4 linked regions of the Notamacropus eugenii genome follow. The protein of the gene in region 3 purifies or fractionates together with the protein of the main gene of each other region. This does not show direct contact. Links are inferred from orthologs where the notes say so. Each region holds a gene or a part of one and is shown on either strand. Other genes may lie near its edges. The genes, in order: EXOSC9, ZFC3H1, MPHOSPH6 and EXOSC1.

Region 1 (7,840 bases), on a different chromosome or scaffold from region 3:
TCAAGTCCGTCTACTACAGCCAAGGTTAAATCCAAAGGGACCCATCTGCCAGGCTGGCACTGGACTGAAAATCAAAAGAGCTGGATTCCAATCCTTGTTTTGTATGGACTTGGGGAGGTTAAACAACTTCTGTGTGCATTTTGGGTCTTCGCTTGTAAAAGAGGAAAGTGCTGTCCGCTTCTATGAAAAACCTTAAAGAGACTGAATGACATAAATTTGGCTGAGAAGTCTAAAACGCACTGGAAGGAGGATTCTATAAATCCAAAGTGTCAGTTTACTCCTTCCTAACAACAAATGGGATGATGCCCCAAGTACACCCGCAAGCAACCTTTGGGAGAGATGGGAGAATTCCCCATGAAAAAATTGGATCGACTAAAGCTTTGGGAATGAAGGATGCATGTCAACTCCCCAAATCTACGACATTTCCCCTAGTGTTAACCATTGAAGGCATATTCTGTACCTTTTCACCAGCAACAACACAGAGAGATTCGGTGTCTATACACTTCGAATTTCTTAGACATCTTTCCAAAAGTCGATTCAACTTCACCAAGAGATCTGACTGCCTATGAATATAAGTATGGGCTGATGAGAGAGAGCCATCGAAACACAAACTCGCTGCTATAATGCATTTTCCTCTTCCAAAAAGCAGAGTAAATCCTTCTTAAGAAACAGAATCCAATACCTGCCAGGTTCAAAAGCAGGAGCAGCCATCTGAGAGAGTTCGAGGTTAAAGAAAAGAATACCTTCTGTTGCTCGATTGAGCTTAGGAGAAACAAGTTCACAGGAGACTTGCCCCAGAACTCTGCAAAAACAAAAAATAAACTTTGGTCAGTGAAACCTACACATTTTGTACAACTCATCTCAGTTGATTATTTTTTTTTTAAATATATTTTTTTAAATTGGATCTTCCTCTCTTGCCCAGACTGGATATGCGGGACATGAACCGACCCCTGAGTGACTGAGGAGCTCTGACACTGTTTCCTCCCTGGGCTGGTCTGTCCCTCCTGGGACTAAGGGGTTACCACATTAAAGTCAGATGGTACAAATGCCCAGCTGGCACAGCCCCATGCAGCTCAGAAGAGCTGCCAGCCTCAGCTAAACTTGAACCTCTGCTTACTGCCACCCTTCCACAACATCAGAGGACATTTTGTCCAGTCCTCTCATTTTACAGATGAGAAAAAGTGAGGGCCAGGCTGGTTTCACAGACTTTTCAAATGTCCAAAAAGCCGAGGCTATGAGGTACTTCTCAAGCTGATTTTTATTCTACTGAAACACAATGGGTAGCCTTTTTTTACCTTGTTTTCCCAAGTTCCACAATACAGCAGCCGTAGTCTGTTCCAAATGAAATTTTGATGTTTCTGTAGTCATAGGTCTGTCTACCATCAAGGCGCTTCAACAGAAAGACAAGTTTCATAGGTAGGGAGAAACTTCAGGAGGGTCAAACAGTTAAAGTGCTTTAACGTCTATTAACTAAACTGGTGAGTTCTAATTGACTTTGGTTTGCTGTTACTTTGTATCACAGCTCTTGTTGGTGTCGGCTCTTTACTAAGCGCAAACTTCACCTCTCCCTACGGCAGTACTAGGCTCAGAACACAATGGGAATCCTTTGAATGTGTCAGTGTCTGAAACCTCGGATGCTTTTTACTCGAATAAACCTCTCACAGGAGACTAGCGCAATAGTCGGACCAGTTTCTCCCCAAAGTCACAGAGTACGAGTAGGAATGAAGGGAATGTGGTGGCGGGTTCGGGGAGAGCATCTCCATCAGAGCCAGGCCCTGCCACGGATCACGGCCGAGCATGACCAAGTGGGGAGCCAGCGCCCGCGGGAGGCACGAGACGGCGGCATGCCCCGGATCCCTTAGTTCTGCGGGGCCGTCTTCCGCGGGGCGCTGCATGTACCCTCTTATCCGGTGCCTGAACACGCCTCGCCCGGCACCGCTCTATGCATTTATTCTCTGCTGTGGGCGCCTCCAAGGAGGAGTCTGCAGGCTCAGCAGCAGCTCTTTGTGACCTGTCCATAAGCTCGGGGTTGGTACCTTTAAGTAACACGGTTTATTTATCCGTATTTAATAGATACGTGCGAGGTACCAAGACTGCTAACGACTATTTATCTGAAATAACATATCCCAGCACCACCGACTCGCAGACCCCGGGGCCAGAAGGGGACGCCCCAGGGCGGGCCTGGAGCCAGCCCCGCCCACGCTGTCGTCACTCGGCCCCGGGGGCCGCCCGGACGCGCTGACGTCACTCGGCCCCGGGGGCCGCCCGGACGCGCTGACGTCACCACCACTTCCTCGTCCCTCCTGCCCCCGCCCTCTAGGCCCCGTTCGGGGGCGCCCCTCCTGCGGGCCGCCTTTCCGGATTCTTCGACGTTTACTTTGTATTTGACACTGCGGAGAGAGGCAGCCTGGCCGAGGGTCCGAGAGCGAGGGCAGGGTGGGGGCCGGGCACGTCCCTGCCCCTCTGGGGCTGCCAGCCCGCCCCGCCCTGCCCCGCCCGGGAAGACCCTACATGGCAGCAGCCACCGCCTCTGCCTCGGAGCTCCTAAGCATGGTCTGGGCCCGCCCCCTGGAGGGAGGGGCTTCCCATCCGCCGGAGGCGCGAGCGCGAGCCCGGGCTGCGCGCATGCGTGGGTGCTGTAAGCGGCCAGAAGCACGCATGCGCTCACGGTAGGGCAGGGTTCGGAAAAGCGGAAGCCCAGGCTCTCTGAGATTGAAGTTCAGAGCCCGTTTCCCATACGGCCAGACACCCGGAAGGAGGGGGAAAGACTGAGGACCGGGTACCCGGGAGACGCTCGTGACACTAGTAGGGCGGCCGCGGCCGGAGGCGCATGCGTTCCACCCTAGGCGCGCCAGGGAGGGGGCGGGGCGGGAGAATGACAGTTGCTCCGCCCCGCCCCCCGCCTCCAAACAGCGGGCTCAAGGCCGCGCTTGCGCGAGTTTCCTTCCCTACCTTCTTTTCCTCGATGGCTCGGAGCAGGAAGCGCCTCTCGCAGTTGGATAACGGTGTCTCCTTCATGGCAGCGCCGTTCGGGGGGAGCGCTGCGGCCCCGGAACCCGGAGGGAGGGAGGGGAATGGAAACGAGAAGCGCGCGCCGCTTCACGTGAAGCCCAGGCGTCTTCGGTGGCGCCGAAGATTGACGGCATCAGTACGCGGCCCGTGGAGGGCGGAGGGGAGAGCCGGGCGAGCGGCTGCCGCTCTGCTCATGCGCGAAGGGGCCGGGGCGGGGCGCCGTGGCGCTTCTGCGCAGGCGTCACGGCTCCGGTCTAAGGGCGGGGGGGAGGGGGAGGGGGCGGGAGGAGTCACCTGCGCGGTTCTGGGGCGCCAGACCGGGTGCCCACGTTACTGAGGACAACAGTGGACCAGAAGAGTTCTTGGGAGGCCCCCGGGATCGTGAACGCGCGTGCTCCCTTCAGCCCCCTCGTGGGACTTTGCCCCGGCCGCCCCGAGTATCCGCACACTCGTGTTTGTCGGTCGCGGGTGATCCTGGGTGATTGCACGTAGTGGGTGCTCAGCGGGCCTGCGGCATCTTCGAGCCCCCGCCCCGAGTGGGGGCTTCTCCAGGGAACGAGGACCTGGCCGAGGCCCCGAGCTCTGCCTGCCTCAGTGTCCTCATCTGTGCAGTGGGCTAGCCAAGGACCCCAGGCAAGAAGACCCCCTGCGGGGTCAGGACTGACAACATTCAGCAGCCCACGGGGAGGCAAGGCCAGACCCCACAGCAGGGCCTCCGATGGCGAATTCAGCCCCTGTGCCGCCGGGGCGGGGGGTGGTGGTCAGGGGGGAGTACTGCCGAAGTGACCACGGCTTTAGGAAGCGCTTCACCCCGGGAGGTCCGCTGCCCGGGTTCTCCAGCTCCCTGCCTCTGAGGAGGGAACTGGACAGCAGAAAAGGGGAGTGGCCCGCCCCTGGGGGTCAGATCCGGGCCGGGGGCCTCCTCCCCAGCTCTGGGCGGTGCTCCCGAACAGGGGAGGTTCTGGGGTGCCACCCATCCATCTAGGAAGATAGAGGAGCGGTTGGGGTGAAATGTGGCGAGAGCAGCATCTTCAGCGGAGGAGGGGGTGCTCAGGGAAGGGAGCCCCCGCAGTTGCGTAGTAAAGCTGGGAGCAGGCCAGACCTTGGCCTTGGGGAAGGTAAGGAATGGAGGGGCGGGGGGCGGCTGCAGGAGGCCAGAGCAGAGGCACAGAGGGCTCGTGACCCTGGGAGTTGTGGAGGGGCAGATTTGAGCCGTGCTCTCTGGGGTCCATATCCTCGTGCAGATGACTCACATCTATATACAGCCCCAGGGGCTTTGGTCCCACACGTCAAAAATGAACTCATTATCTCCTCCCTTCCCAAAATTAGAAAGCCAAAGAAAATAAGCCTTAATTCCATTTCTTTGCGGTGTTAGAATGAACTCTCCACAGAAGTCCCCAAGGGAAGAATATTGCCCCCAAAGACATAGGGAGTATTTAAGGTTACCTCTGCTGCAGCTACTAAGAGGCGGACAGTGAGGACGTTCGAACAGAAATGAGTCACAATTTATGTCCAATGTACAGTCAAATGCCAAAAAAAAAAAAGCGTTTCCTTTTTAGGCAGCATGTGAACTCCCGGGCTTGTTTCACAGCCCTAGTTTTCTAAATTGCTTATGCTATTTTCAAAATTGTTGGCTTAGTCTGTATTCCCTTCTGTTTGTGTCTGTGCATTTTAAAAAGTGTTTTAACAAACCCTCTTTTTTCCTCATTATTGCTAACTCCCCTCTCTCCCTCACACCCCCATTAGAAAACCGACAGAAAACAAGCAGAGACGTGTAACAAATAAGCTTAGTTAAGGAAAACAATTCCATACGGTGGTCATGTGAGTTTCATTCTTAGCCCTCTAGAAACATGATTGGTCGTTGCCTTGTCCAGAGTTGGCAAGATGTACAAGTTGTCTTAACCTCAGTCTCCCTTCTCTTTCCTCCTTGTGTCTGTGTCAGTGTTGACTTTGGTGCGTTTCCCCACTCGTAACTTGTAATTCATCTGAAGTGGTGCATCGAGTACTTGTTTCAAAGCCCTTATCCGGGAAGATACAGGAAATTCCCTCCTTTCCTTGGCCTTCACACATGGTCTCCATTTGTCTTCCTCTCTGTGCTTGGTTAGCCTAAGGTCCCTCACACTGTTGGCTGATTTGTGGGCCTCTGGGTGGGAAAAGGGAAAGGTCCACAGAGCAGAATTAGGAGATAGCGCCTTACTGTTTCTGATATACTTTCTCTAAATGTTCCTGTCTCTGGAATTTGAAAGGGGAGACAGGCAAGATGGAGGTTGTGGTGCTTTGGATTTAATCATGCAACCATTCTCTCCCTTCCCCTCCCCCTCCCCCTCCTCTTCTCCTCTCTCTCTCCTCTCTCTCTCTCTCTCCCTCTCTCTCTCTCTCTCTCTCCCTCTCCCTCTCCCTCTCCCTCTCTCTCCTTACTTTTTTCTTCCTAATTGGACCCCTCATCGGATGAATTGCTTTCAGTTTTGTTGTTCTTGGTGGCGGGAGGTGGAAGAAGCACTTCACAATCTGAAATACTACATAATGTTTACCTTAATTTCGCAAAAAACCCAACAAAGTAAAAGTTCATCAGATCATCCTCACATCTGCTTGCTTCAGGTTGCAGCTGTGCTGAGCTCTAGGTATCCTCTCTCATTGCTTGGCTAGTTGACCATGATGGGCAACTCAGGCCCTCTCTCCTTGCTGAATAGCCTTCTCCTGCCACGGCTAAGGAAAACTCCTTTTGTTGGCTGGTGAGGGAACTCTGAGTGTCTCACTTTGTTCCAGGTTTGAACATAAATTATAAGGCAAGTGACCAGAATCAGGTCCACCCTTAACAAGGTGTTAAAAGTTCAGAAAGGCTTGTTACAAAGGTTGCAAGGGAATAAAAACTATTGGATTTTTAATAGGGCAGTTCTAAGAGGTTAGAAGCAGCTATAATCTGCTTCAAAGAAAACCATCAGCTTGATATATAGGCTTGATGTATATAACACATTTAGTGTGAGGGTTTCTTCGGATTAGAAGAGTTTCTTCATTAACAACTTCAGTATGTAATCAATAATAAATAGATTCAGTGCCAAATAAGAGCTTGGTCCATCACTTCACCTCTACAGGTAGCAATTCCCAGCAGGACACTCATGTTACCGTTGTGTTCGTCCTTCCTTGCTGAAGAAGACCATGCCATCAGAGAAATGGTAGCATGACTTGCACTTGACTTTGTTTTGAGTGAGGGAGGGCTGTGCAGGTAACCAGCCTCACTTCTCCTCCAGAGCCATCTGGATCTAGTGACCAGATATTCATCAGGATGACTGGAGATGGCCCAGCATGCAGTGGGAGACCTTGGCCCCTTTAGGCCAAGGCCTACTCAGGGACTCACTTGGGGTGAGTGAATAGGCCTGTACACTCATGAGTCAGGCTATAGCACTCACCCCAGCCACTGGCCAAGAAAAAGGCCTCTCCTAAAACAAACCTCATAAAAATGGAAGCTCATCGAAATCGTGGGAAAGGGAACTCTTTTTTCCTGTCTTTACATCTTACACAGCATTTAATGGGTTAGAAGCCAGCCTAGTGATGTGAGATGGCCTACCTGGGAAGGACTTGTCTTTGACCTAAAAGAAAGTGGGTGCTGTTGTTGAATGCAGATGGAAGCATACTATTTTCACATTTTTTTTGTGTGGTTTTTTTTCACTTTTGGTCTGTTTCTTCTTTCACAACATGATCAATATGGAAATAGGTTTTACATAATTGCTCACATGTAACCTATATCAGATTGGTTATCATTTTAGGGAGAAGGGAGGGAGAGAGAAAATTTGGAACTTAAAATTTTTTTAAAAAGAATGTTAAAAATTGTCTTCATGTAATTGTAAGAAGTAAAATACTGTTTTTTAATAAAAGTAGGAGCCATGGAAAAGAAAGTAGTGACAGACTGATGAATACTGGACTGAACCAGGTCGCTGATTATCTATGCCCTCTCGATGTCATCTGGCATAGTTCTAGATTCAAGGTAAAGTAAAGAAACAAGCATTGATAAAGAACATGCTAAATTTTCTCAGTTTGTAAACATTAAGATCATTTACTTTCAAAACCCAAGAGAATCAACAAGAAATCAGTAAAGCAAACCACAGACTTTTAGCTTATTGAGGTAATTAGGGGCAATAGATGTTCAGCAAAACAGATAGGAAAATAAAGTAACCTGAATTTTTATTTAACAACAATAGAGCACTTGTTAAGTGCCTACTATATACCAGACCAAAAAACCAACCAAACTATTTTGTTGCAAATTCATTTTAAATGAAAACAAAACAGACTAAATCTGGAAATTAACCTACCAACACTCACCTTGAATTTCTAAAAATGCAAAACAATTTTTATAGAAATAAGGAAAGAACTAAACATGTATATTTATTCAATCTGCTTGACTCTATAGTCCTAATAAAGTAAAAATAACAATACTGCATTACCAACTATATTAGCATGTTTTACCAGTTGAAATACTAAAGGCATACTTAATAAAATTAACTTAGATGGTAACAATATATGAAAGAATAAAAAAATAAAAATGAATAATGAAAGAAAGAAATAAAGGTGGGGGATTCATACAGCCAACCCAAATCATGGCATAAACAGTAACTTCAAATTATTTCCAGCTACATAAAAAGTCTATGGTAATTCAATTTAATACATTAGATCAGAGAGAAGCAAATGTATACAGTAAGATATGTGAACTTGGGCAAGTCACCTGTTTGCCTCGCTTTCCTCAACTGTAAAATGGCACTGAGTCTTCCAGGGTTGCTGTGAAGATCTGATGAGATCACACTTGTAAAATGCTTAACACAGTGCCTAGCACAGA
Region 2 (8,201 bases), on a different chromosome or scaffold from region 3:
AAATAAGATAGTTCATAGTCTGGTTTTTGTTTTAGGTTTTGTTTTGCTTTTTAATTTTAAAAAGTAATAATGGACTTGGAAAAAGATATGAATAGGTAGTTTTCAGAGGAAGAAATTAAAAATATCTATAATTATGTAAAAAAATTTTCTAAATCACTGATTAGAGAAATGCAAATTAAAACAACTCTAAGGTACCACCTCACATCCATCAGATGAGGTAATATGACAAAAAAGAAAAATGATAAATGTCGGATATGTGGGAAAACTGTTAACTGTTTACGAAACTGTTAACTAAAAACTGTTAATTAAATGTTGATAAGAGTTGTGAACTGATCCAACCATTCTGAAGAGCAATGGAACTATGCCCAAGAGGCAACCAAACAGTGCAAACTCTTTGATTCAGTAGTATCACTGCTAGGTTTGTATTCCAAAGAGATCATAAAAACAGGAAAAGGACCCATATGCATACAAGTATTTATAGAAGCTCTTTTTGTGGTGGCAAAGAATTGGAAATTGAGGGAATGCCCATCAGCTGGGGAATGGCTGAACAAGCTGTGGAACATGAATGTAAAGGAATACAATTGTTCTATAAGAAATGATGAGCAGGCAGATTTCAGAAAAACCTGGAAAGACTTACACGAACTGATGCAGAATGAAATAAGCAGAACCAGGAGAACATTATACACAGCAACACTGGGTGATGACTAACTATGATAGACTTAGCTCTTCCTCAGCAATACAATGCTCTAAGATAATTCCAAAAGATTCGTGATGGAAAATGCTGTCTCCATTCAGAGAAAACTATGGAGTTTGAATGCAGATTGAAGCATACTATTTTCACTTTTTATTTCTTTCTCGTGGTTTTTCCCTTTTGTTCTGATTCTTCTTTCACAACAAAATCACTATGAGAAATATGCTTAACATGATTGTACATCTATAACCTGTATCAGATTGCTTGCTGTCTTGGGGAAGGGGAGGAAGAAAAATTCAGAACTCAAAATTTTACAAAAATAAATGTTGAAAACTATTTTTGTATGTAATTGGAAAAAGATAAAGTATGATTAAGGAGGGTAAAAAAAAGAGTAAAGGATGTAGAATCTGACCTAATTTCTAAATGAAAAAAATATTCATTTGCCACTTTCTGTGTAGCCTTAAACCAAGGGTTCTTAACCTGGAGCCAACGCTTTTGAAAAAATATTTTTGTAACAATTTCTACATAATTGGTTTCCTTTGCAATTATATGTATTTTGTTTTACAAATTTAAAAACATTATTCTGAGAAAGGGTCCAGAGGCTTCAATCAGAGCCCCAAGGAAAGTTAAGAACCCCTCTGAGGGGTTTGAACAAAGAGGCAAGTTTAGACTGGATTTAAGGAAAAATTTCCTAACAACGAGTTGATTCAAAATGGAATGGATTGCCAATGAAGACATGGCTTTCAAGCAAAGATCACGTTCTTTAGAAGAGATTCTAGTTTCTATTATCCTGTATATATAGCTTGGCTGCACATATTGGTTTGCTTGATGTTTCCACCTCTCCTGTTCACCCCCCCTCCCCCACTGTAAGCTCCTTGAGGGTTAGAGTGCCTAGCACATAGGAGGACCTAAATAAATATTTACAGACTGACTGAATATACAAGAGAACACCTTAGGGTCCCGGCAACTATGTTATTATATGACACTCTGAGCTTTAATCTTTCACCTCTATCTTTGCTCCCAAACTCCTCCCAGTTCTAAATCTTATGATTCTGTTTCCAAAGGATGAACACTAATTCTTAAGAACACCAGATTACTCACTCTATAATCACACAGGGTGGTACCTGAAGACAGTAATTTTTTTTAAAAAATAAGAATCAAAAGCTTAGCTTTCCATCCTAATCCCTCCCAAGACTTTAGTCGGTAGTCAAACTTACTAAAATAAGTCTCTCATCCATACTTACCCTAATAGGAAGATCTTCCTGTAACAAACAGCAAACACCAAAGGAAAAAAGTGAAAGCAGCTAGAACTACCAAGGAGACACAATTCTTAATAACAGGGGTTTCCCTGTAGCTCTTTGGGGAGCATTTTCCCCCTTCACTTTTAAAGGCAACAAGAAGAGAAAGCATTAAATAAAATTGCAACTTGGGTTCGACAAATGAACGGAGTAATGAGAAATTTTACAATTCTAAGGAGTTCAAATCAATTAAACCTGGTACAAAATTCCTATTTACTTACACGTGTGTATCGTACTCCTCCAAATACAAGTTCCTCCAGGGTACTGACGCACTCGAGCGGTTTGGAGTTTTGGGGGGTTTTGGCAGGGGGTTTTTTGTTTGATCTTTTCAATCCCAGTGCCCAGCACAGCCCGTGAGCGATTCCCGTTTGTGGAGGGCATTGTGAAAGTAGACAAGTCAATGAATATCCCGCAACAATAAAACACGGCATGGCTTATTACAGGGCTGCTCCTGGGCATTACTTTTCCCAAGCCCAGACTTCGGGATGCAGGGGGGGAAGGGTTGCGAAAAGAGCAGGAGAAGATCCCCAGAAGCCAACAGCCCCGACCACCCCCACGGAAAGGATACAGCTCTTGCGAGGAGAAGGCTCCCTCCAGCTCTGGCCGCCGCTGCCGAAGCCCGATCCCCCTCCTCCCGCCGGGGGCCTGCCGCCCGCCGGCTTGCCGCCCCGGTCGCTGCTGCTGCCTCGCCCGCGGCCCCAGCGGCCCCCGCCGCGGTAGGGCCGGCCTCGAAAGCGGAAACGGTCCAGGGCGATGTGGCTGCGTTCCCAGAAGGACTGCCGAGGGCTGCCCTCCGACAGCGAGGACGACGACGCCATCCGCATGGGGGGCGGGTGCGAGCGGAACGGCTCCTTAGGCCGGTAGCCGCCGCTGGGCCCGCGTAGAGGGCCACGCTCCGACGGGTGCCGCGAGCGAGACGAGAAACTCCTCGGCGGCGGCTGCGACGAGGCCGACGACGACGACGACGAGCCGCCGCCGCCGCCTCCGCCTCCGCCGCCCGAGCCGGAGCCACCGCCCCGGGGCGGGTGCGGAGGCCTCCGCCGCGGGTACGGCAACCCGCTGCCTCCGCCGCCGCCGCCGCCGCTGCTGCTGCTGCTGCTCCTGCTGCGGGCCTGGCTGTTGTCATCGTCGCTGATCTCCCCGTCTTCCAGCTCCCCTTCCTCCTTAGGCGAGAGGCCGCTGGTGGCCGGGGTCGCGGCGTCCGGGGCCGCCATCCACGGAGCAGCCTGGACTCACGCCGCACCCCCACCGTCGGGGCAGCCGCCACCCAAAAAGAAACAACTCACCTGCTTCTCTTTTCTTTCTTTCTTTCCTTCTTTCCTTCCTTCCTTCCTTCCTTCCTTCCTCACTCCCCGGGCTGGCCGGGCCTCACCCCTACCCCGAGGTGGACGCTTTTCTACACCGAGGGAGTGCCGTCCTCCAACTTCCCCCGCCACCGCCGGCCACCCAGCTCCTTCTGTGCCCCTTTCGAGATAGATTCCCGGATCTTCCGCCAGGGCCTCGCGAGAAAAGGCAAGCGAGGAAGGAGGCTGGAAGGAGGCAAACCGGAAGTGCCTTCCCGAGGCCGAGGCGACACGCGGTTCTGGATGGCTCACGCGGTGATCCATCGGGGCGCGCGGGGCATCATGGGAGGTGTAGTTTTTCTTTCTCTCCTTGCCCCTTCCCGTTATTCGCCCTTTTGCCGACACCCTCACAAACCCCCCCGCAGACCCTGAGTCGGTTCCCATTGGGCGAATCTCCTTAGTCTGCCCCGCTGGGGCGATTTTGGAAGCTACTCTTTCTGCCCGAGTTAAAAAAGAGGGGGAGGGGCAGAGGGGGGCGGTCGATGTGGAGGAAGGGCGCTGCCATCTTGGTGAAGGAAGACAAGGCTGCGTGAACTCAGGGACCGTCTGCCCTGCGGGTTCGAGGCCGCCATCTTATTAAAGGGAAAGAAAGCCCCTGTGGAGTAGGGACCTAGCCCCTTTCCCAAGCCTGCCGGGGATCCCCGGCGCTCCCTCCCGCCCGCGATTGGGCTCCGCGTCGGTCGGATGAGGGAAGTCAGAGAGATGCCGACCAACTGCGCCGCTGCGGGCTGTGCCGCGACCTACAACAAGCACATAAACGTCAGTTTCCACAGGTAACAGGTACCGGTCGGGAGGGACTGGGCGGCCAGAACCAGAACCGCCCGCCGCGGCTGTCTTGGATCCCGCCCGGCGCCACCCAGACTCGGGGTCGTAACGCGGCGTCCGTGGATAGATTTCAGGGAAACCGTGAGCTTCAGCGGGAGAAAAGTGTCATTTTCACAAGTTGAAATGTAGCATTTCTTTCAGTTGACAATGTTTTAAATACACTATTATGTGAAGGGATACCTAGCTTTACCAGCCCCGACACACGTGTGTGTGTGTGTGTGTGTGTGTGTGTGTGTGTGTGTGTGTGTGTGTGTGTGTGTGTGTGTGTGTGTGTGCGCGCGTGTGTGTGTGTGCGCGCGTGTGTGTGTGTGTGTGTGTGTGTGTGGAGTAGAAGAAAGAAAGAAAGGATGGTAGGAGGAAGAAAGGAAGAAGAAGAATACAGGAGCAGCCGAGCTTCTGGAAACTTAGGGCCAGGCAAAGAGAGGCATCTTTCAGCTTGGTTGGACCAAAGAAGTCGTCCCCATCTGGAAAAACAGTTACTGCCCTATTAAAATTGGGCAATGCCGCATTCCAGAATTGACATCAAAGTTGATTCTTCTGAGGGGTAGCGGCCAATGACAATCGTGGTATTGCTCTGAACTTTCTGTTTAACAGAAAACCTAAAGCAGGGCTTGGTGTCTGTTCTACCCTAGTATTAAGAAAGGCAGAGTTGTTTCTTTGCCAATTGCTTTAAAATAAAAATTCATCAGTTCTGCCGAAACTCCTGTATCTTCTTTATGCTTATTTTAAGTACTAAACTTTTTTATAGAAAGGCACTTTTAAAAGAACTGTGTACAGTTGGCCACTAAAAATATATATAACCTTTGAGGATATGTGTAATATAGTATGACACTTGGAGGGGGGGGCACTTTTTACTTTCCCCACTCTAACTGCTGAGTACCAGCTGTGGGACTTGTTTTCTAGTATCAACCGCTTTTTCGAGATGCTGGGTAGGGAGGAACTAAACCTGTGATTTTATTAGCATAGGGAACTCCCAGTGAATAAACGTCCTCCACCAAAGTAGATCAGCATTGGCAGATGCTGCAAATAATACAGCTAATAGTTTTGAAGGCATTGAGAAGTCAAGTAACTTGATACAGGGTCACATAGACGAGTATGTGTCAGAGGCAGAACTTGAAGTTGTCTTCCTGATTCTGATTGTGGCTGTCTATTCACTACACCAAGCTGCCTCTATTTTTTTAGTGAATAGGCCTGGAGTCAGGAACACCTGAATTTCAGTTCTTACTTACTAGCTATGTCACACTGGGTAAGTCACCCTGTTTGCCTCAGTTTCCTCATCTGTACAATGAACTGGAAATGGCAAACTACTCTAGTCTCTTTGCCAAGTAAACCCCAAATAGGATCACAAAGAATTGGATAGGACTGAAAAGACTGATCAACCATAACAAATGTTTAATAAAATTTGTTGAATTTATTGAAATGATTTTTGTTCAGATTAAATGTTTAAAGAGAATCCTAATTGGTTCATTCAAACTCCAGTGCTAGTCTTCAAAATTTCATTCTAATTCTCAGTGCTTAAATACTCTCTGGGAGAATGTGACTTAGTGAATTTAAGACAGTCTTTGCATTTGGAATACCTGGATTCAAGCTCTAGGCAACTCTCTAAAAAATAAATTGAAGGTAAATTGCTAATTTGTATTGTGGGAGTTTTCCACTGTAGGAGTTATTGCAACTGATGAAATCACAAGTCAGGAAACAATAACAAAAATATTCTCCATCAACATAGATAATCAAAAGATTTTGGGGAGGTTGGCAATGATCCAGACCTGTCACTTGCCCAGTACAGTAATCCCCTTGTAATTTTTAGTCTTAAAGAGTTGCCTGGAACCTCATGAGATTAAGTGACTTGCCTATGGTAACAGCTGATAAGTGACCAAGAGATAGAACTTGAACCAAGTTTTCCTTATTCTAAGGATAGTCATCCATCCATTATACTTCAGTGCCTCTCAATCTAAAAATTATCTTGGAATATCACTGACATGACCCATATGACTACGTTTAAGGAACACAGCCCAGGTCTGGGCTCTGTGATTTTAAGATAACCTTCAAAGACAAAGGTTTGGAAAATAATACACCTATGAGGAAAGGATGACTTATTTTTATAATAATATTATTTTTATAAATATTTGTCTTCAAGACTTGTTTGATGGGCTACGTACAGTCATGAAGAGGTCTTAGAAAATGACACTCAACATTCCCTTGTCTTTCCTAGGGAAGAGAAAAAATCATTTAGGGTTTATTGACACAATCAGGAAATAGTGGAATTAGGATCTTTGAAATCAGCCCACATTTTTGTCCTTGGATCTGATCCCTTAAAGGGGGAAATAGTTACGAAAGTGAAAATGCCTCTAAACTTTTTAATAACAAAGAACTACTTTTCATATCCCAGAAACCTTGAAATTTCCAAGAAAGTATAGCTACAAGAAGTGAAAGAACCTTTACCATTTTCCTTACTTCTTGCTAGGAAATATAGGCATAATGGAGGTCATGGTGATGACAGCTTTCCAGTGTGGATCTCTCCTCTTCATGATCTCTTAATATCTCCAATATTTTTTTGCTCCCCAAATAGAGCAGTTTCATTCTCATTCCTCTTCTAGCAAGTTCATAATGATTAACACTTCCATTAGAGGACACTCAAAGTAAATTTGAGATCAAATTGATCAAATCTAGTTGTTTACAGGATTTCCAGATCAATAATCTCTCCATTATCCTGTTGAGTTTTTTCTGAACAACGTAGAAACACAGGAAGACATTCCATATGTGTGTTCATCTATGTCAGTAAATTTTTAACTGAACTAAGAACAAGGTATTTATTGGAATTTAAAATCTAATTGGACCTATCAGTGATATTTCTACTGTTTCATGAGAACTGTGATTTCTATTGGGATGATCAGTAATGACAAAGTATTGATTTCAACACTTACATACAAATTAACTAGAAACTAAAATACAAATTTTAGAAATTGAGGTCATTTTACCTAAGTTTTCTTGACAAAATGAGTGTGTCCATTTTGCCTTTACCATTATGCCAGCAGCAGTAGATGGCATAGCTAAATTATTCTAATATAATAGTTCTATGCACTTGATAAATGAATATGATTAAAACAATTTTAGACTAGGAAAAAAATTCCCTTTTTCTGTACATCCTAGGGAATCTGTTGAGAAGGATGTATTCTTCCAAATCACAGAAATCACCTTAGTCACGCCTTCATAGATGTTGCTATTTATTCAATCTTATGAAAGTGAACATGAATTATTTTCATTAGAGTATGTAAATCACTTCAGTGTTAATATTTTTAGGCAAATATTTAAATGTAATCAACATTAAATCACTGTTTATTTTTAAATAATCTTTAACCACTAGGATTACCTGAAATGTTGTCATTTCTCCAAATCAGTTGGCATTTGAGATGTGTTTTGTTCCTTAGGTTTCCCTTAGACCCCCAAAGAAGAAAGGAATGGATTCGTCTGGTTAGGCGTAAAAATTTTGTGCCAGGGAAGCATACTTTTCTTTGCTCAAAACACTTTGAAGCCTCCTGTTTTGACCTAACGGGACAAACAAGACGACTTAAAATGGATGCCGTACCAACAATTTTTGATTTCTGTACTCATATAAAACCAATGGTAGGTGACACTACTTTCTCTTTTCCTTTTTCTGCCTCCCCCAACTCCTCATTTTTGTCATCTCTGACATTGACTGTCCTTTACATAAGAAAGCAAGACTACCTTGAATGCCACATACGATCAAAAAAGTTGTCCTTATTGTTCTTACTTGTCAAATGTCATTTTTAGAGATAGAAGAGAACTTGAAAATTTGACATCAGAGATGTCAAACACTAAAGGAGTAGAACTGCAACATTCCCCGGCTGAGGGAACCAAATTAAAATGCAATTGAGAAATATTTAACAAAATTAAAATACAATAGAACATAGATAATGTTAATATGTGATTTTCAAAGTGAAGTCCTGTTTAGTGGCTTCCATTTCTATTTGAGTTTGACCCCACTGACTAGACAAACTTCTTCATTTTATAAACAAGAATAAA
Region 3 (7,714 bases):
ATTAATTAAAACTCTGCCATGGATTTCAAAGCTAAACAATTATTATCTGGGTGCTGATTCCCAAATTTCTATTTTCAACTCCAATTCTTCTCTCTTGAATTTTCTGACCATTTCCAAACATCTTTGAAAAACCTCTAATAGTCAGATGTCCTGCAAGCATCTCAAACTTAAAAACAAGACTCATCTCCTACCACCACTATTCTCCACTCACATGGATCTTTTTGTCAATGGTATCCCCAGTTCTCCAAATGACCAAACCTCAGCATCAACTTTAATTCACAAATGACACTCCCTCACCATGCTAACTGTTCCTAAATCATGTCATTCTACTTTTCCAATCTCTCATTATCACCTCCTACTCACACAGCCCAAATCAATTGTGTGGATTTTTAAAAATTTTTCCTACCAATTCTCTCAGCCTCCAGCCTCTCCTTTCCAATTCAGTCTGAACCTTCATTCACTCATCTATCCCATATTCTTTTTATAGGTATACTATGTGCTAGGTACTATTCCAGATGCTAAGGATACAACGAAAAAATGAAATTCCCTCCCACCTAATTAATCTCTGCTTCCCAGCTTTGCTGACTTCCTCCAAGTACCAGCTAAAATCCCACCTTCTACAGAAAGTAAACCCCCGCCCTTGATTTTAGCATCTGTTTGCTTGTTGTCTCCTCCATCAGACGGTGAGCTTGAGGAAAAGGACTGTATTTTTTTTAACCGTAGGGCCTTAGCTCAGAGCCTCGTTTAATAGGAGCTTAATAAATATTTTATGTACTGGCTAACAACAACAAAAGGCCTCTGCCCTTAAGAAGCTTACATTATACTAGAAGCAAAAGAAAAAAACCCTAGAGGTGTAAGTAAATAGGAAATACAAAGTCTGTGTCTGTCTGTGTTCATCCTTCATTTTCGAAGAAGACCATGACATCAGAGAAATGATGACATGACTTGCACTTGACTTTGTTTTGAGTGAGGGAGGGCTGTGCAGGTCACCAGCCTCACTTCTGCTCCAGAGCCATCTGAATCCAGTGACCGGACATTCATCAGGATGACTGGAGATGACCCAGGATGCGGAGGAAGACCTTGAGACCTTTAGGCCAAAGTACTCACTTAGGGTGAGGTGGCTCCCATTCAGTGAATAGGCCTGTTTAAGAACTAGTCAGGGGATGGCTCCTTTAATGAGCCAAAGAAAGAATAACTAAATCAAGCTGGGAGGGAAACAGCAACAGTTATTACTGATAATCACTCTTAAGCCAGGAGGGTCCAGAACCTTAAAGGGGGAGGCTTGGGAATGGCTTTGCCCTCTGAGGTGATCATGTTTAACTTCAAGAGGAAACTGAGAATCAAATGAGAATACATGTAAAGCACTATAAATCAGTCATTATTAACAAAGTGCTTTACTTAGACTTCCAGTAGCCTTTACTTATCCTTCCAGTCATCCAGATTTGCAGAATTGGTGGAGAGCTTTGACTTGACATTCTTCAGCTCCCACCTCTACTTATTTGCCAAATCTACCCACACACACCTCCCATATTAGCTTCCTTCTCTCCATCCACACAGCCTTAGGCCCTCACCCCTCTCACTTGCACTTGTCTAATGTCTTCAAAATGGTTTTCCTTCAAGTCTCTCAACATTTCAGTCTATTCTTCACACAGCTGCCAAAGTGATTTTCCTACAGCCCAGGTTTGACTATGTCACTCCTCTACTTAACCTTGGTGGCTCCTTATTACTTGTGGGATAAAATGGCAACCTACCTGTTAGCATTTAAAGCCCTTCACAATGTGCCTCCAACCCTGCCCCGCCCCCCTTCCATGTTTATTCCCTACTAACCCTTTTCATGTACTCTACAGTTTAGTTAAATTGGCCTCCAGACTCTAGGCATTTTCCCTGATTGTCCTCATGCCTGGAATTCTCTTCCTTCTCATCTCCATCTCCTTGCCTCCCTTGATTCTTTCATCTTCAAGTTAAAACTCTATCTTCACAAGAAGCCTCTCTCCAACTTGGTTAATGCTAGGACATGCCTTCCCTCTCTGGATTATCTTCACATTTACCTACTAATCCTTCTTATAGTAGCTACCTCACAGAGTTGTTGTGAGCATTAAATGAGATAACCAAGCATTTATTAAGCACCTGCTACTAAGTACTGTAGATCCACAGCCCAAAGTGAAAGAGTCCCTGTCCTCAAAAAGCTTGTATCCTACCAGGGGAGACAACATGTACATGTACAGACATACAAAATGGAAGTAAGGTGACTCTGCATGGGAGAGTACTAGCATCTGGGGTTCATGTAGCAGGGAGCACTTCAACTGAGTCTGAGGATTTCTGAGAGGCAAAGATGAAGCTGGGAGATGTTCACAGCAAAGGGGTGAAGTGTGGAGACACAACATTTAAGTGCCTGCTGCATACCAAGCACTATACCAAGTGCGAGGTCTACAAAGAAAGGCACAACCCACTCCCTGCTCTCCAGGAGCTCCACTCTGATGGGAAAGACAGCAATGTGGACCATGTAAAAACAGTCCTCACAAAGCGATTTACGTAGCAGCGGGCCCAGATGGCAGAGGAACGTGCCCTTCTAAGATTTCTGACCACGTGACCCTGCTGCAGAAAACCTGCTAAGGTTCTTTGTTTTTTCTTATCGCTCGGTGAATAAGTCCGGCCCTCGGAGTCGGGCATCCAAAGCCCTACACGGTCCGGTCCCAGTTGTCCTCTGCCACCCCAGACCGAGGCCTCTGAGACTAGCCTCGGGGCCTCGCCGCCCTCGCGGACGTCGCCGCCTCGGCCTCCCTCTCTGCTCCCGCCGCCTCGGCCGCCCTCGGGGACGTCGCCGCCTCGGCCTCCCTCTCTGCTCCCGCAGCCTCGGCCGCCCTCGGGGACGTCGCCGCACTATCTTCCGCCGCGACGTCTCTTACCTTCATCCTCATGAGATTCTTTGACAGCTTGGGTTTACACGTGGCCTCCATGGCGCCTTCACTAGCTTTTCCCTTAAACAACTCGCGAAAGCTCCTGGAGAAACTCCGTCAGCGTCGCTTCTGCGGCGTCACGTCTGCTTACGTCACTGTCCGGCGCCGGTCTGCAGCGCGGGGGTCGGGGGGTGGGGCGAGTATTGGAGCGAAAGGCCTTCTTTGAGCCCTTTGGTGCGCCTGCGCAGAGTCCGGGGTGGAAGGCACCGGTGTCACGTCACCCTCCGGCTGTGGTTGCTAACTTCGGAGAGGGGGACAAAGATACCCAAGGTTTTCGGAGAAGGAAGAGGAAAGAAAACTACCGTGGATTACGTAGCTTAAACCGAAAGGGCGTTAGCAGTACCTAGCCCAACTCGTTTATTTACAAGATGAAGAGCCTGAGCCCCAGAGAGGTGAAGTAACTTCCCTGGCGTCGCCCAGGATTTCAGCCCAGCCGCCTTGACTTCACAGCCAGGGTTTTCCGTCGCATTTGGGGTCTGCCTTGGTCTCACGTGAAGTCAAGACCAGAAGGGGCTTTACGGGACTTTACCAGAGGGGAAACTGAGTCAGAAAGGGGAAGCGACCTGCCCAGAGTCATAAGGGTGCTGGGGGAAGGTCCAGAGAGAAGTAACTTCGTCCAGGGTCGCACAGTTTATGCATTATTCCAGTCTAGGTTCTCTGACTAGGGTAGGTGTGTCTTGGGCACTGTAGGAAGTACCAGCCCGGCTCTGGTGCCGTGGTCCATTTAGTAGTCCCCCTTTCCTGCAGGCACCGAGGGCCGTGCTGTGTGAGGGCCTGATTGTCCCCTAACAGCAGCTCTAAAAATCAATGGGCTATCCTCATCTTCTCTTACTGTCTCTTTTGGTGCTGTCATTCATCACTTTTGAATTCATTTTTGCCTTTCTTGTACCACCTCTTGATAGAAATGAGCTCCTCTCTCAATTTTTTGACTTCCTTTGTCCCTCTTTTCAACTACCTTCCTTTGTGTGATTCTCCCCACCTCCTTCTCTTTACCTTTCCTGATGTTTTTCTCTTTTTAAGGAGATAAGAGTATGGAAATGTAAATTTTAAGTGTTTGCTTTATTCGAACAAGTATACATTTTATTTATTTAGCCTAATAGAAGTTTTATATTATTAAACTGAAAACTCCTTTTTCTCTCTAATACAAAGTAAAATTGAAGTTTTAAAATTTTAGGGTTTTTTTGGGGGGGGCAGGTGTTAATGGACATTATTTTGAAAATGATCCTCACCCCCTGATGTATAGTTATTTAGAATTGTTAAAATACATATGTTTTACTGTGTGACAAAGTTGATCAGAGGAGCCTATGATTAAATGAGTCTGCCAGTACACTTGAAGAGATTACAGATGTAGATTTTTGCTGGAAAGGTTAGCTCCTATGGAAACCACATCTACCTTAGACCCTTGCTGAGGAGACACAGGTAACTTCTTTGATTGGTTTCTAGTGATTTTGGTTGCCTCCAAGAGGACTGCCAACTGAGAGTCAAAGAGGACAGACTTTTGTTAAGTTACCTGTTCTCTGTGGTATAAAAATGAACTGTGAAACAGTTTCCCCCTTTTTTTCTTTTCCTAGGCTTTATCTCCTTTAGGTTTCCGACTAGGGTGCAGCAAGGATTGTGGGGAATGGATTTTCTTCTGTCCCCTAAGGCTGAAGATGGAGACGTAGGAGAAGCACATGATGAGTAGCCTGTGTTTGGTTAGGTGAGTTTGAGAAGGTGGTACCTTAAATGATGTGGTTTAGGGGTACAGAGACCCCAAACTGCCTCGGTACAAGGCAGAGTCATCTAGAAAGAATTCTTTGACTCAAGCAGTCTTCTAGTCTCTTGGCAAAAAGTTTATTGTCAAGCTAATATAGGGTGCAGAGTTCCTTAAGGAACTTGCAGAATAAGTGGGTGGAGGCGATGCTAAAACCTCTATAGGAAAAACAGTGCTTTGTATGCCAAGTATGCTAATTAGGTGGTAAACATTCATTTTCTGTACCTTGGACTCAGGCATCATTCACTACTGGAAATTCTGGATGGGCAAGGGACTTGTAAGGAGTGTGTTTGTGGTTTGCTACATCTGTAACAAGATAGCCTCAGGAAATGACATCTATAGCTTGACCTCTGGATTGTATAGGGTAACTGTGGGAATCAGAACAAGATAGTTCTGTTGCTACAAGACAGTTCTGTTCATACAAGGGAAATTCCACAGAGGTCAGGTTGTTCTTGTAACAAGGAGAGATAGTTTGTTCCACTGCGGCCCGCTCATGAGTTATTGCCAGAGATGGGATCTTTGGGCTGGAGAGAGATGTGGTTTTAGGATTGGGTTCCAAGCTGAAGTACCCCATCAGTACCTCCAGGTCCTGACTGCCTTCTCTTAATTTCCTGTTTCCTTGAGCACAGGTCAGAGACTAGTAATGTTGAGAAGAGACATTTGCAACCTTGGTGATTGTGTCATGGGTAATTCTGAGTTTGAGAGCTCCCAGATTCTTGAGTCTGCAATAGATTGAATTCTTGAGATTGGCACTGGCTTCCAAGAAGGAAAAGATTTTAGAACTGTGTATAATTTTGGAGAAGAAAGAGGATAGTACTGTACCTGGAGGAATAAAGGCACATTCTTAGAGGTAGAGTAGTAGATAAAGTTCCTGCTAATTCTCCATGATATTTCTGTAAGCTACTCAGAAGATGCAGGTAAGTGGATGAGCAATGTTTGTTTTCCCAATCCCACAAAATGATTCGCTTTGGGATGCATAGGAATGTAGATTCTAAGGATCAATGGGTCATGTATATCATAAGGATTCTTGTGGGATATGAGAGAAATAATTATTAACAACCAATGAATTGGGGAAATCCAGAGTTACCCATTTTTCTGTAGTCCTCATTCAAAGTTCAGTCTCTTGAAGCACATTACTGATAATGCCCTTGAGTTCTCACCTTGATTTTGGTCAGACCCCACCCAAATTTACCAGAATTTAATAGAAGGTGGGGAAGTCCATTGTGTTCTTAGGTTTGGGTAAGGATAAATTCTTTGATTAGATGGCCTAAGGCTGCAAAGTGGCCTGGGTATGGAGGTGATTTCTTTGTCCAATAGTGACGTGACATTTTGGAAGCTAATCAAAGTATGAACAGTTTGTTGCTGACTTGGCGGGAAAGTTGAGCCAATACACAGTTGGCAACAGTGGAGCAGAAAGGAATGGGCAGCTTTCAGAGATTTGGTGTACAGCACTGCGTTTGCTTATCTGGGTCAGAACACTCACGAACACAAAGACTGGTTTGATTAAAATGATAGGGAAATACAGAAGCTGCTAAATGAAAAATGAGAAGTACACAGAATTTGCCAGCAGAATAGTTCATCAATCTCTAAGAAGGCAGCTTTTAATTCCATCAAAAGCAAAGTACAAGCAAAACTTAGAAAGATGTAGGATTCCTGGCTCAGTAAGAAGGCAGATGAAATTCAGTTTTATGCTGATAGGAACAATCCAAAGCACTTTTATGATTCCCTGAAAGCTATTTATGGACCAAAAACCTATGGTGCATCATAACTACTCAGTGCTGATGGAGCCACATTGGTTAGTGATAAGGACATGATCCTAGAGAGATGGACTGAACACTTCCATAGTATTCTCAACAGACCATCATCAATCAATGCTGAGGCCATTGACCATTTACTTCAGGTTGAAGTCAATCCCTCCTTAGCTGAACTGCCAACTGAAGAAGAGGTTTTGAGTGCCATTAGGCTCCTTTCATGTGGCAAAGCACCTGGTTCTGATTCTATTCCAGCTGAGATTTACAAGGTAGGGGGACCATTGCTCATACAAAAGCTGACTGAAATTTTCCAGGTTATAGGGCAAGAGGAGGTTATCCCCCATGAGTTCAAGAATGCCTCCGTTGTCCATCTCTTTAAAGGTAGGCTGATTCTTCACCTGGAAGATGGTCCTCTACCTGAGAGCCACTGTGGCTTCAGAAAGGTCTGAGGAACAGTTGATATGGTGTTTGCTGCCTGACTACTCTATTGGTTTCACAAATAAAGTTTGACTACTTTGAAAGAAGGTTTGAGCAGCTGAATTCTTTCAAGGCAGACCTCTATACCCCTACATTTTGGGGTTCCCAGTGCCACAAACCACAACAGGTTAATTTTATATCCTCCAACTTTGCTAAAGTTGTTAATTCTCTAGGATTCTCTTAAGAATAGCATCACAGCATCTGCAAAGAGTGATAGTTTTGTTTCCTCATTAATCTCTGGATTCTGTGCCTTTCTGTTTAGGCAGGCACTAAGATTCAGGTTCTCATCATCTCTCTGAGCGTTTTGTTAATGCAACAATGCAATATTATTTTATATATGGGACATTTCTTTTGACATTATCCTCTTTGGGATTATAAACCCAGTTGGGGTATTCCTGGGTCAAACACATGAAGAGTTAAGTAACTTGGAGCTATTTAGAATGAAAACTTGTTCTGCTGCTAGAAAAAGCTAGGGCTTTCATTTTGGGAAAAACAGTGAAAGGATTGGGGAGGGTGGGGCATGCTGGGAAACCCAAATGCTAATTAGTTGCTACAAACCAATGCTAATTAGTCCCCTGAAGAACTGCCCCAGGGGCCTTCTCTGTAATTAGAGGCTCTGGCCTTGGCTTGGCTTTCAATTTGGGTATGGAGAGGGCTGGAGCTGCAAAGTCTTGAATTCTGCATCTAAGAATGCAGAGGTTTTCAGGTAGGTATTTCTCACCAAAACAAAACTTCCTAAAGTATGTTTTTCTTTTCTCAAGCAAATACAGCTGGCT
Region 4 (7,439 bases), about 330 Mb from region 3:
AAAGTAAGAGATGCTGTAGGGGTATACAAGGCAAAATCTGGCCATATGGGGTAAGAGCTAGTAATATGTTCAGGATGATGTGGGGGCTGTGAAGCTGGCTGACATGTTAGCAGGAGGTTCTAACAGCACAGATCAACCATGTTCAATTCACTAAAATGAATGAATCCCATCTTTCTACAGATTTTTCTAGTTCCAAGTGACCATATGGAGCTAGGAAGTGGATCTATTTGCTTTGGAATTAACCATTTCATTTGAATTCAGCTCATTTTCTCCCAGCGGGTAGAAATCACACCTGTTCATCTTAATCCATTTTACTCTTTAAGGAACAAAGTATCTATTTAGAAATCTACAGTGCCAGGACCTAGGATTTTGACCTAGCTAAAAGCTCCCATATCTGGCTTAGAGTGAGAACCCATACTTAAATTTGAAGAAATGTTACTAAGTATTCTAGAAAAATGTACCAAATTAGAAGACAGAGCAAATTGTTCCTCTCTGGTCAATAAACAAAAAATCCACAGGGAGAAAAGGACTTGGGGGGCAGTGTGGCAAGAGGGGAAATCATTGTAGTAGTAGAAAAATGACAACTTTAGTATCACCGGGGACTCTTTCTCTGATATATTTGTCCTCAAATATGGTCTTTGAAATTAATTACAATAACAGGAACTTTGAGATTCCATAGTTATTAAGTTTTTTTTAAAAAATCATTACCTTGTCTTTTTCAGTAGCTCGAACATCTTCCTTCCTGTAAGGAAATTAAAAAAAAAAAAAGATTCTTCAAGAGAAACAACGACTTGCTTTCTAGGACCAAGGCCAGAGTAGCTGCTGGAATTGGGACGAATCATATTTGTTAATTAGCTGCCATCCAGAGGCACAAGATGGAAACACATCCCAAGATTACATCTTGGGCTAAGACCTCTATCCTGTCACAAGAGGCCCACATAGAATAGCCAGCAATTGTTCCTAGGGATGGGTCTGGAGAGAAGGAAGTTTCAGGATAGCTAAGACATGCGAAGGTATAAGAAAACTTATTAGCCCCTCCTGGAAAGAAGTGGCAGAAAATGACTGCACAGCTATTCAGAATCCTAGGATGGAAGAGACTTTCAGAGATTGAAGAATAAATGATCTTACATCCATGAAAAATGATTTCTGTCCCCTTTTCAAGGGAAAACTCGGGAAAAAGAACCCTACCCAGTAATTTCCTCCATTTCTAATAATCACCAGGGTTGGCCTATACAACTGCAATTACATGTAATCTTTAGGAGAAATAGGGCCTAACAAACTTACAATCAACTCTGGATGAACACATATCACCCTGATGCCTGCTAAGCACATACTTCAGTCAAATTTACTACCCTAGTCCAAACTTTCTCTGTGAAACACAAGAGAGATCACAGAGAAAGGAAGGCAGAGATATTAAAGAAACATGATGGATGTAGATCTGTAATATTTTGTTTAAAATCCCAGACTGTTTTGAAGCAAAATAAATAAATTTAAAAGCTTCCCACCTGATAGTGCCTCTAAAGGAGTTCTTGAGTGGTGTGGATCCCACATACAATATATGTACTTTGGCAAATCGAGAATTAATGCTGGAGACCTGTGCCATAGAGAAGATAATGGATGGATTAAAAATATTAGCAGCTGTCAGATAAAGAAATCCTGGTGATATATGGCAGAGATTTCTAAATAAGTAATTAAGGGAAATAAATTCTACTCTTAACTATCCTATTAACTAGGTAACTCACTTAATCTCTGTTTCAGTTTTCTCAATAATTTAGGGAAATTTGCCCTATTTCAGAATATCACATGAAATAAAATGAAAGCATGTTGAGAAGTAAACAAATGTAAGGCATTCCAGCAGGTTCGAATCCTTGGACAATTGAGCCATCGGTCTTTTAGGACCTTAACGAATCAAGAATATAGACTTAAAAACCTGAAATTCTGTAAGCTGTCTTTTCATTTGCAAAATTAAGACTGGGACATTTGTATGAATTCAATGAGTTCTTGTGAAGACGGGAATAAGCATGCACAGAAAACGTTTTATAAAGTGCAAAATGTTGTATGGGGTGTTCCAAAAGTCTTAGTGAAGTTTTAAGTTATTAAATCTTAGACACGGGAACCTATTAAAGCTTAAAATTGCACTAAGCCTTTTGGAACATCCTGTAGAAATGTGAATTAGTACCACTGCTCCTCAGTCTCTTTCAACATTACAACACATACTGTTCTGCTGGGGCTATTTATGAAGATACTAACATTACTCTAGCTTTCATCCTGGAGAAACTTTAGTGACACAAAATTAACTCATAGTCTCTTTCCTTAAAAATGTCTAATGAGATCTGAAGTTCGCTAGAACCTCTGAACGGTGAGGATTTTTGCTTTCGTTTTTTTCTCCTAAAGAATAAATCCCCCAGCTTTTAGAATTCAGAACCGGGTACCCACCGAGTAGGAAAATGACATTCCCTGTAAAGTAGAAAGGGGTTTTTACAGTCTAAAAGGTCACACGATGGAACAACCAGCAGCCCTGACCACTACTGCAGCCGGCGGACGGAGGCAAAGCCCGGCGCCCTGGGCATGTGGGAGCTCGGAGGCGGGTGGGCATTACCGCACCTTGCACGTTACGATCGTTCCCACATCTGGCAGCAGCTGGGACTCGGTCTCTCTGGTCACTGACACCACCGGGAGCTGCAGAGGGGACGAAGAACAGGGGCCTGAGCTCTACTCGGTGCCAGGTCAAGGGGGCCACGGGGCGGATTCAGTGGGGCTAGAGGCCCTGGCTCCGTCCGGCGGCCGACCCCAGGCTTTGGGGACGCAAAGGCCTACGGGGCTCCCCGGCGCCCCGCGAGGCCCCGCAGGCCGGCCTCACCTCGCCGTTGTCGCTCGTCTTCACCAGGCAGCCGGAGAGCGAGGAGAAGATATAGCCGTGCCGGGTGTAGGTGCCGCTGCCGGGGCTGGCCTCCTCCAAGTTACACAGTCGTTCGCCTGCGGAGGACAAACGTGGTGTCCATCCCTCCCATCCGGGCCCTCAGCGGCAGCTCGCCGGGCCGGCAACCCTTCCTCGGGGCTCACTCACCTGGGACGCAGTACCGCATCGGCGGCGCCATAGCCATGATCTCCCAACAGCCATTGCGAGAGACCGATCGTCAATCCATTGGTCGAAACGAAGTTGAGGGCCCGAGTAACAGAACTGCCAATTGGCTGGCGTACCACGTGGCTTCTCCAGGGCCTCCTCAGAGATTTCCCTCTCCTCCCAGAACTTCAGCTCCCAGGGTACCTTGGGAGGAAGAAAAGAGGGCGGGCCGCCAGGCTGCCCACGCTTGCGCCGTAGGGGAGGCCGGGGTGGTAGCGGTCCTGGCGCCGCCGCAGGTGGGGACTGGGGATGGTGGCTCTGGCTGATTGGGGCCGGGGTCGGCTTCGGCCGAGGCTGCTGTGAGCCGTGAAGTCCTCGGGGCTGGACTGGGTCGTTGCCCGACAGACAGGAGGTAAGGCGACCTCCGGGGTCACAAGGTTCTATCTCCCACCTCTTTCCTTTCCCTCAGGATCTTGGGCCCCCAGCCGCGGGGGGCGTGGAAGTACGGGGCGTGAGAGGGGTCAGTGGCTGCGCCCGTGCGCCCTGGGCCGTTCCTGAGGCGGGGGCCGAGGAAGGGGGGCTTCGTCTTTCCCGGGATACCTCCAAGCCCTTGGGGAGGGGGTGGAGGGGCTTCTTTATGCTCACTGCCCCTCCCCCTCCGTGGTGGCTCTGCTTCCCTACCTGGCACTCGGGGCTGGCTGGGATGGGGCGGACCGAGCTCGGTGACGGGGTCACGTCGCTGCCTCCTTGTCTGTCCACCCGCGGGCCCCCTAGAAAGTTACTGACCTCTGCGGAGCCCCGTATTCGGAGGCAGAGCCCTGCATCCCCGAACGCTCTTTATCCAGTTATCCGCGGACCTGCCTTCAGGTCAAACGGGGAAGTTCGTCTCTGGGCTGGTGACCCTAGAATGGACAGATGGCGGGGCAACGCTTCCCTCCTCCATGCCTTTGCCCAAATGGAAACCTATCCAGCAAATGTAGAGGGGGAGATTAGATGGAGAACTGCAAGTTTAGGGGCTGAGACAGGATTGTGAGACAACTTCCTCAGGTTACAGTCTGTGGAGGAGTACTTCTGGTCACTCTGATGTTAGAGGAATGGAGAGTTTTAGGATAGTGCTGTTTAATCTGAATTTATTCCCTTTAGGAAAGTCATCTAGTGTTTTTTTTTAAAGTTATTTTAGTTATTTTATTTAGTTATTTAGTTTAGTATAAGCTATTTGTTATTATCTACCAATTAAAATGGTGTAGTGTATGTAACCCAAAATGGGATTTAAAATTTTTGCTTAGTTTCAAAATGCAGAGGATTTTTGTTGTAGTTTTTGCATTTGAATACGCCTGTCGGTTGTTCTGGAAATCCTTACTTTAAATCAAATGACTGTAGAGTCAGCTAATTAGTATTTTTAATTATTTTATTTTTATTTTATTAAACATTTATTTAAATATTTAATTATGTGCTGGGCACATGGGATCATGGATCTCCCATTCTAACGTAGGATCCCTGTAAACAACAAGGTATCCATAAGATTTAAACAGAGTAGATAGAAAAAAATCAGAGGGAAGGCAGTAATCGCAATAGGGGAACCAGGAAAGGTTTCCAAGAGAAGATGGGATTTGAGCTGAGTCTTGAGGGAGCTTCAAAGTTCCTGCATTTTCTATCCTACGATATTTTCTTCCTGATTGCCCTGATATCAGGGAGTTGGAGAGCTTCCTGATCCTGATGGACAGCATCACTTCTGACTGCTTTAAGGTTCTGGCCAGAGCAGTACTACTTGCTGGCTCTTTCCCTCTCTCTCCCCCCTCCCTCACCTTCTCCCTCTTTCTCCATTTCTCTCTTTCCTTCGTTATCTGTCAGGTGCAGGAATAGGAGATGGAATACCTGTGTTTAAAGGCTTTTCTTGGGTGGAAGGAAGGGACACTGATCCAGTTACTGAACTGAAACCATGCCTAGATATGCAGACCTCCTCCGGTTTCTTCTGGGTTTCAGACTTCATTCTAAATAATTAAGTTAACAGAGTTGAGAGCAGAGTAGCACCCTCCTGCCTCCCACATGACAAATCCGATAATCTGCTCTTCCATAAGAGATAGACTCATTCACAAAATTGGTGCAGGTATCCACAGAAGTCTGTAGCTGAAGATATTGGTTAGGTGTCTTTTCCTCTTCCATTGCTGTATTATTCCACAGCCAGAGAGAACGAAAATATTTGAAGATATTAAAGAATTTGGAGCGCTGGGGAGATAAGCTAAGAAGCAGGCCTGTGAGGGGAAATCACTGTAGAGAAGGCGTTTCTGCTTTGAACAAAGAGAGTGTGTGTGTGTGTGTGTGTGTGTGTGTGTGTGTGTGTGTGTGTGTGGTGGGGGGGCAGTTAAGAGGATCATTAGGTTGACTTCTAACTAATTCAGGAAAAGACTAAACTTCACAGGCCAGATTATGTTCTCAAGAAGGATCTGAGTCTGAGAAAAGGGACACAGGCAACCTTTAAATATGTGACATCCCCAGTAAATGTCACTTCTAGGGTGGAAGTGACAATATCCTACTACCCATATCTTGGTGGTTCCCTTAGCCTCTGAATAGGGAGATTAGAAAAGATGTCAAGATTTATGTCACAAAAGAGGCAGGAGAAAGAACACAGGACTTGAAATCCTAAGATCTGAACTTGAAGTCAGGCCATGCTACTTCCTGGTTGGGTGATCTTGGGGAAGTCCTTTTATCTCTGAGTCCTTTTCTTCATCTGTAAAATGGGGACAATCATTTTTATTCTCCATATCTCTTCGGGATTTTTGGAGAATCAAAGGAGATACAGCTTTGTAACCACAAAGTGCCATGAGTTGTTGTCCCAACATCATGTGATAGTTGGGACTGAGAATGGAAGGTGCAAAGCTTGGGAATTTTATGCTGCCAGGCTGAGGTCTCTGAGCCTGTAAGAGCAGTCCAGAAGATGAGAACTGATAGCTCTCTCCAAGGATATAGATGGCATCAAAGACCTTGGAACAGGATCCACTCCAGAATGCTTTCGTATACTGATGTGGCTAGTTTTAGCTAAAGAGTGGAAAGCATTAGAAGTGGGAGGTGAGTGGGAGGTGGGCAGGAGGGAGATCTAGGTGACAGGCAGCTTCCTCAACAGCTCTGCCATTGCAGAAGGCCACACGCTTTGTCACATTCTCTCCTTGCAGTGGTTTTGTTGTTCTTGCTGTTTAAGGTTTCCTCTGCCCTCTTGGTTCCTATTCTGTAGAGAAATCCAGAGGAAGACTTTGCTTGGTGCCAGTTATTTCTTTTGTCCCTCTTGATGCAAGAGGTGTCATTTAGTGGCGGGACTTACATCCTTCTTGTGTTAGTCTACTTCTTGTGTTAAGAGTAAGCATTGTGTAATGGAAAAACTGCTGGATTTAGATCTGGATTCACATCCTAACTTAGATGTGATTCTGGTCATGCTACTGTACCTTCCAGCCTGTTTAACTGGAAAGCAGGCATAATACTACTTTTATTACTTACCTCACATTTGGGAGGTTTACAATTTCAGTACTATTTGTTAAACATGTGAGCTCCTGTATTTGTATACTTAGTTAAGTTTGATTCTTCAAATCTAAGCTTAGCACCTCTATCCTGTGGTTGTTGGAATAAGTAAGTCATTAGGGGCAGGCTGAGTGTGACCTCAGAGAGCCCTTACTTGACTCACTTGTCTGGTGGGGCGCAGGAGTTTAGGTGTTCACCGCCTGTTTATCTTGCTGTAGGAGGCCATGCGAAGCCGCCGGTCCTTACTGCTGGGGCCAGCACGCCTATGCTTGCGTTTGCTTCTCCTCCTGGGCTACAGACGCAGATGCCCATCGTTACTTCGGAACCTTGTACTTCGTTGGCGCTATGGAAAAGTCTGTCTGCGCTCTCTGCTCTACAACTCCTTTGGGGGCAGTGACACTGCCATTGACTCTGCCTTTGAGCCTGTCTATTGGCTTGTGGACAATGTGATCCGCTGGTTTGGGGTGGTGAGTGTTGGCAGGATTATGTGGCTTGGGGTTAGCATGAGAGATGTGTGACTTTTGGGTGAAAGGATGGGGATAGGTGGCTTGATCTGAAGACTCCACAAAATACTTTACAAAACCAGGCTCTATTTGTTTTCCTCCTCTTGTACTGCCTTAGTTGTGGGGTGCCATCTTTCCATACTCCAGTCACAGATGAGTGTTGACTTCCTACTGTTGACAGGTCTTTGTGGCCCTGGTGATTGTACTGACGAGCTCCATTGTTGCTATTGCCTACCTGTGTGTCTTGCCCCTGATTCTCCATACTTACTCAGTGCCCCGAATCTGCTGGCACTTTGTCTACAGTCACTGGAACCTCATCCTTATCGTCTTCCACTACTACCAGGCCATCACCACACCTCCTG

The links.
Region 1: the proteins of MPHOSPH6 (region 3) and EXOSC9 purify together in Homo sapiens (affinity purification with mass spectrometry; 5 studies listed by BioGRID and IntAct, with this or other methods). This does not show direct contact. The link is inferred for Notamacropus eugenii from reciprocal best matches to the Homo sapiens genes MPHOSPH6 and EXOSC9.
Region 2: the proteins of MPHOSPH6 (region 3) and ZFC3H1 purify together in Homo sapiens (affinity purification with mass spectrometry; 3 studies listed by BioGRID and IntAct, with this or other methods). This does not show direct contact. The link is inferred for Notamacropus eugenii from reciprocal best matches to the Homo sapiens genes MPHOSPH6 and ZFC3H1.
Region 4: the proteins of MPHOSPH6 (region 3) and EXOSC1 purify together in Homo sapiens (affinity purification with mass spectrometry; 5 studies listed by BioGRID and IntAct, counting the BioPlex papers as one, with this or other methods). This does not show direct contact. The link is inferred for Notamacropus eugenii from reciprocal best matches to the Homo sapiens genes MPHOSPH6 and EXOSC1.

The regions. Positions count from the first base shown.
Region 1 is NC_092878.1:162,645,232-162,653,071, forward strand, and holds the start of EXOSC9 (exosome complex component RRP45), read right to left. Parts: upstream 3,244-7,840; 5' UTR 3,019-3,243; coding exon 2,953-3,018; intron 1,391-2,952; coding exon 1,296-1,390; intron 803-1,295; coding exon 683-802; intron 564-682; coding exon 461-563; intron 1-460. UniProt on the Homo sapiens protein: Non-catalytic component of the RNA exosome complex which has 3'->5' exoribonuclease activity and participates in a multitude of cellular RNA processing and degradation events.
Region 2 is NC_092874.1:249,496,350-249,504,550, forward strand, and holds the start of ZFC3H1 (zinc finger C3H1 domain-containing protein), read right to left. Parts: upstream 3,296-8,201; 5' UTR 3,204-3,295; coding exon 2,558-3,203; intron 1-2,557. Other genes in the region: THAP2 (THAP domain-containing protein 2), read left to right, coding at 4,017-4,105, 7,586-7,781. UniProt on the Homo sapiens protein: Subunit of the trimeric poly(A) tail exosome targeting (PAXT) complex, a complex that directs a subset of long and polyadenylated poly(A) RNAs for exosomal degradation. The RNA exosome is fundamental for the degradation of RNA in eukaryotic nuclei.
Region 3 is NC_092872.1:543,301,120-543,308,833, forward strand, and holds the start of MPHOSPH6 (M-phase phosphoprotein 6), read right to left. Parts: upstream 3,118-7,714; 5' UTR 2,958-3,117; coding exon 2,907-2,957; intron 1-2,906. UniProt on the Homo sapiens protein: RNA-binding protein that associates with the RNA exosome complex. Involved in the 3'-processing of the 7S pre-RNA to the mature 5.8S rRNA and play a role in recruiting the RNA exosome complex to pre-rRNA; this function may include C1D.
Region 4 is NC_092872.1:214,259,499-214,266,937, forward strand, and holds the start of EXOSC1 (exosome complex component CSL4), read right to left. Parts: upstream 3,211-7,439; 5' UTR 3,105-3,210; coding exon 3,068-3,104; intron 2,977-3,067; coding exon 2,861-2,976; intron 2,680-2,860; coding exon 2,605-2,679; intron 1,595-2,604; coding exon 1,506-1,594; intron 743-1,505; coding exon 709-742; intron 1-708. Other genes in the region: palmitoyltransferase ZDHHC16, read left to right, coding at 6,799-7,041, 7,259-7,439. UniProt on the Homo sapiens protein: Non-catalytic component of the RNA exosome complex which has 3'->5' exoribonuclease activity and participates in a multitude of cellular RNA processing and degradation events.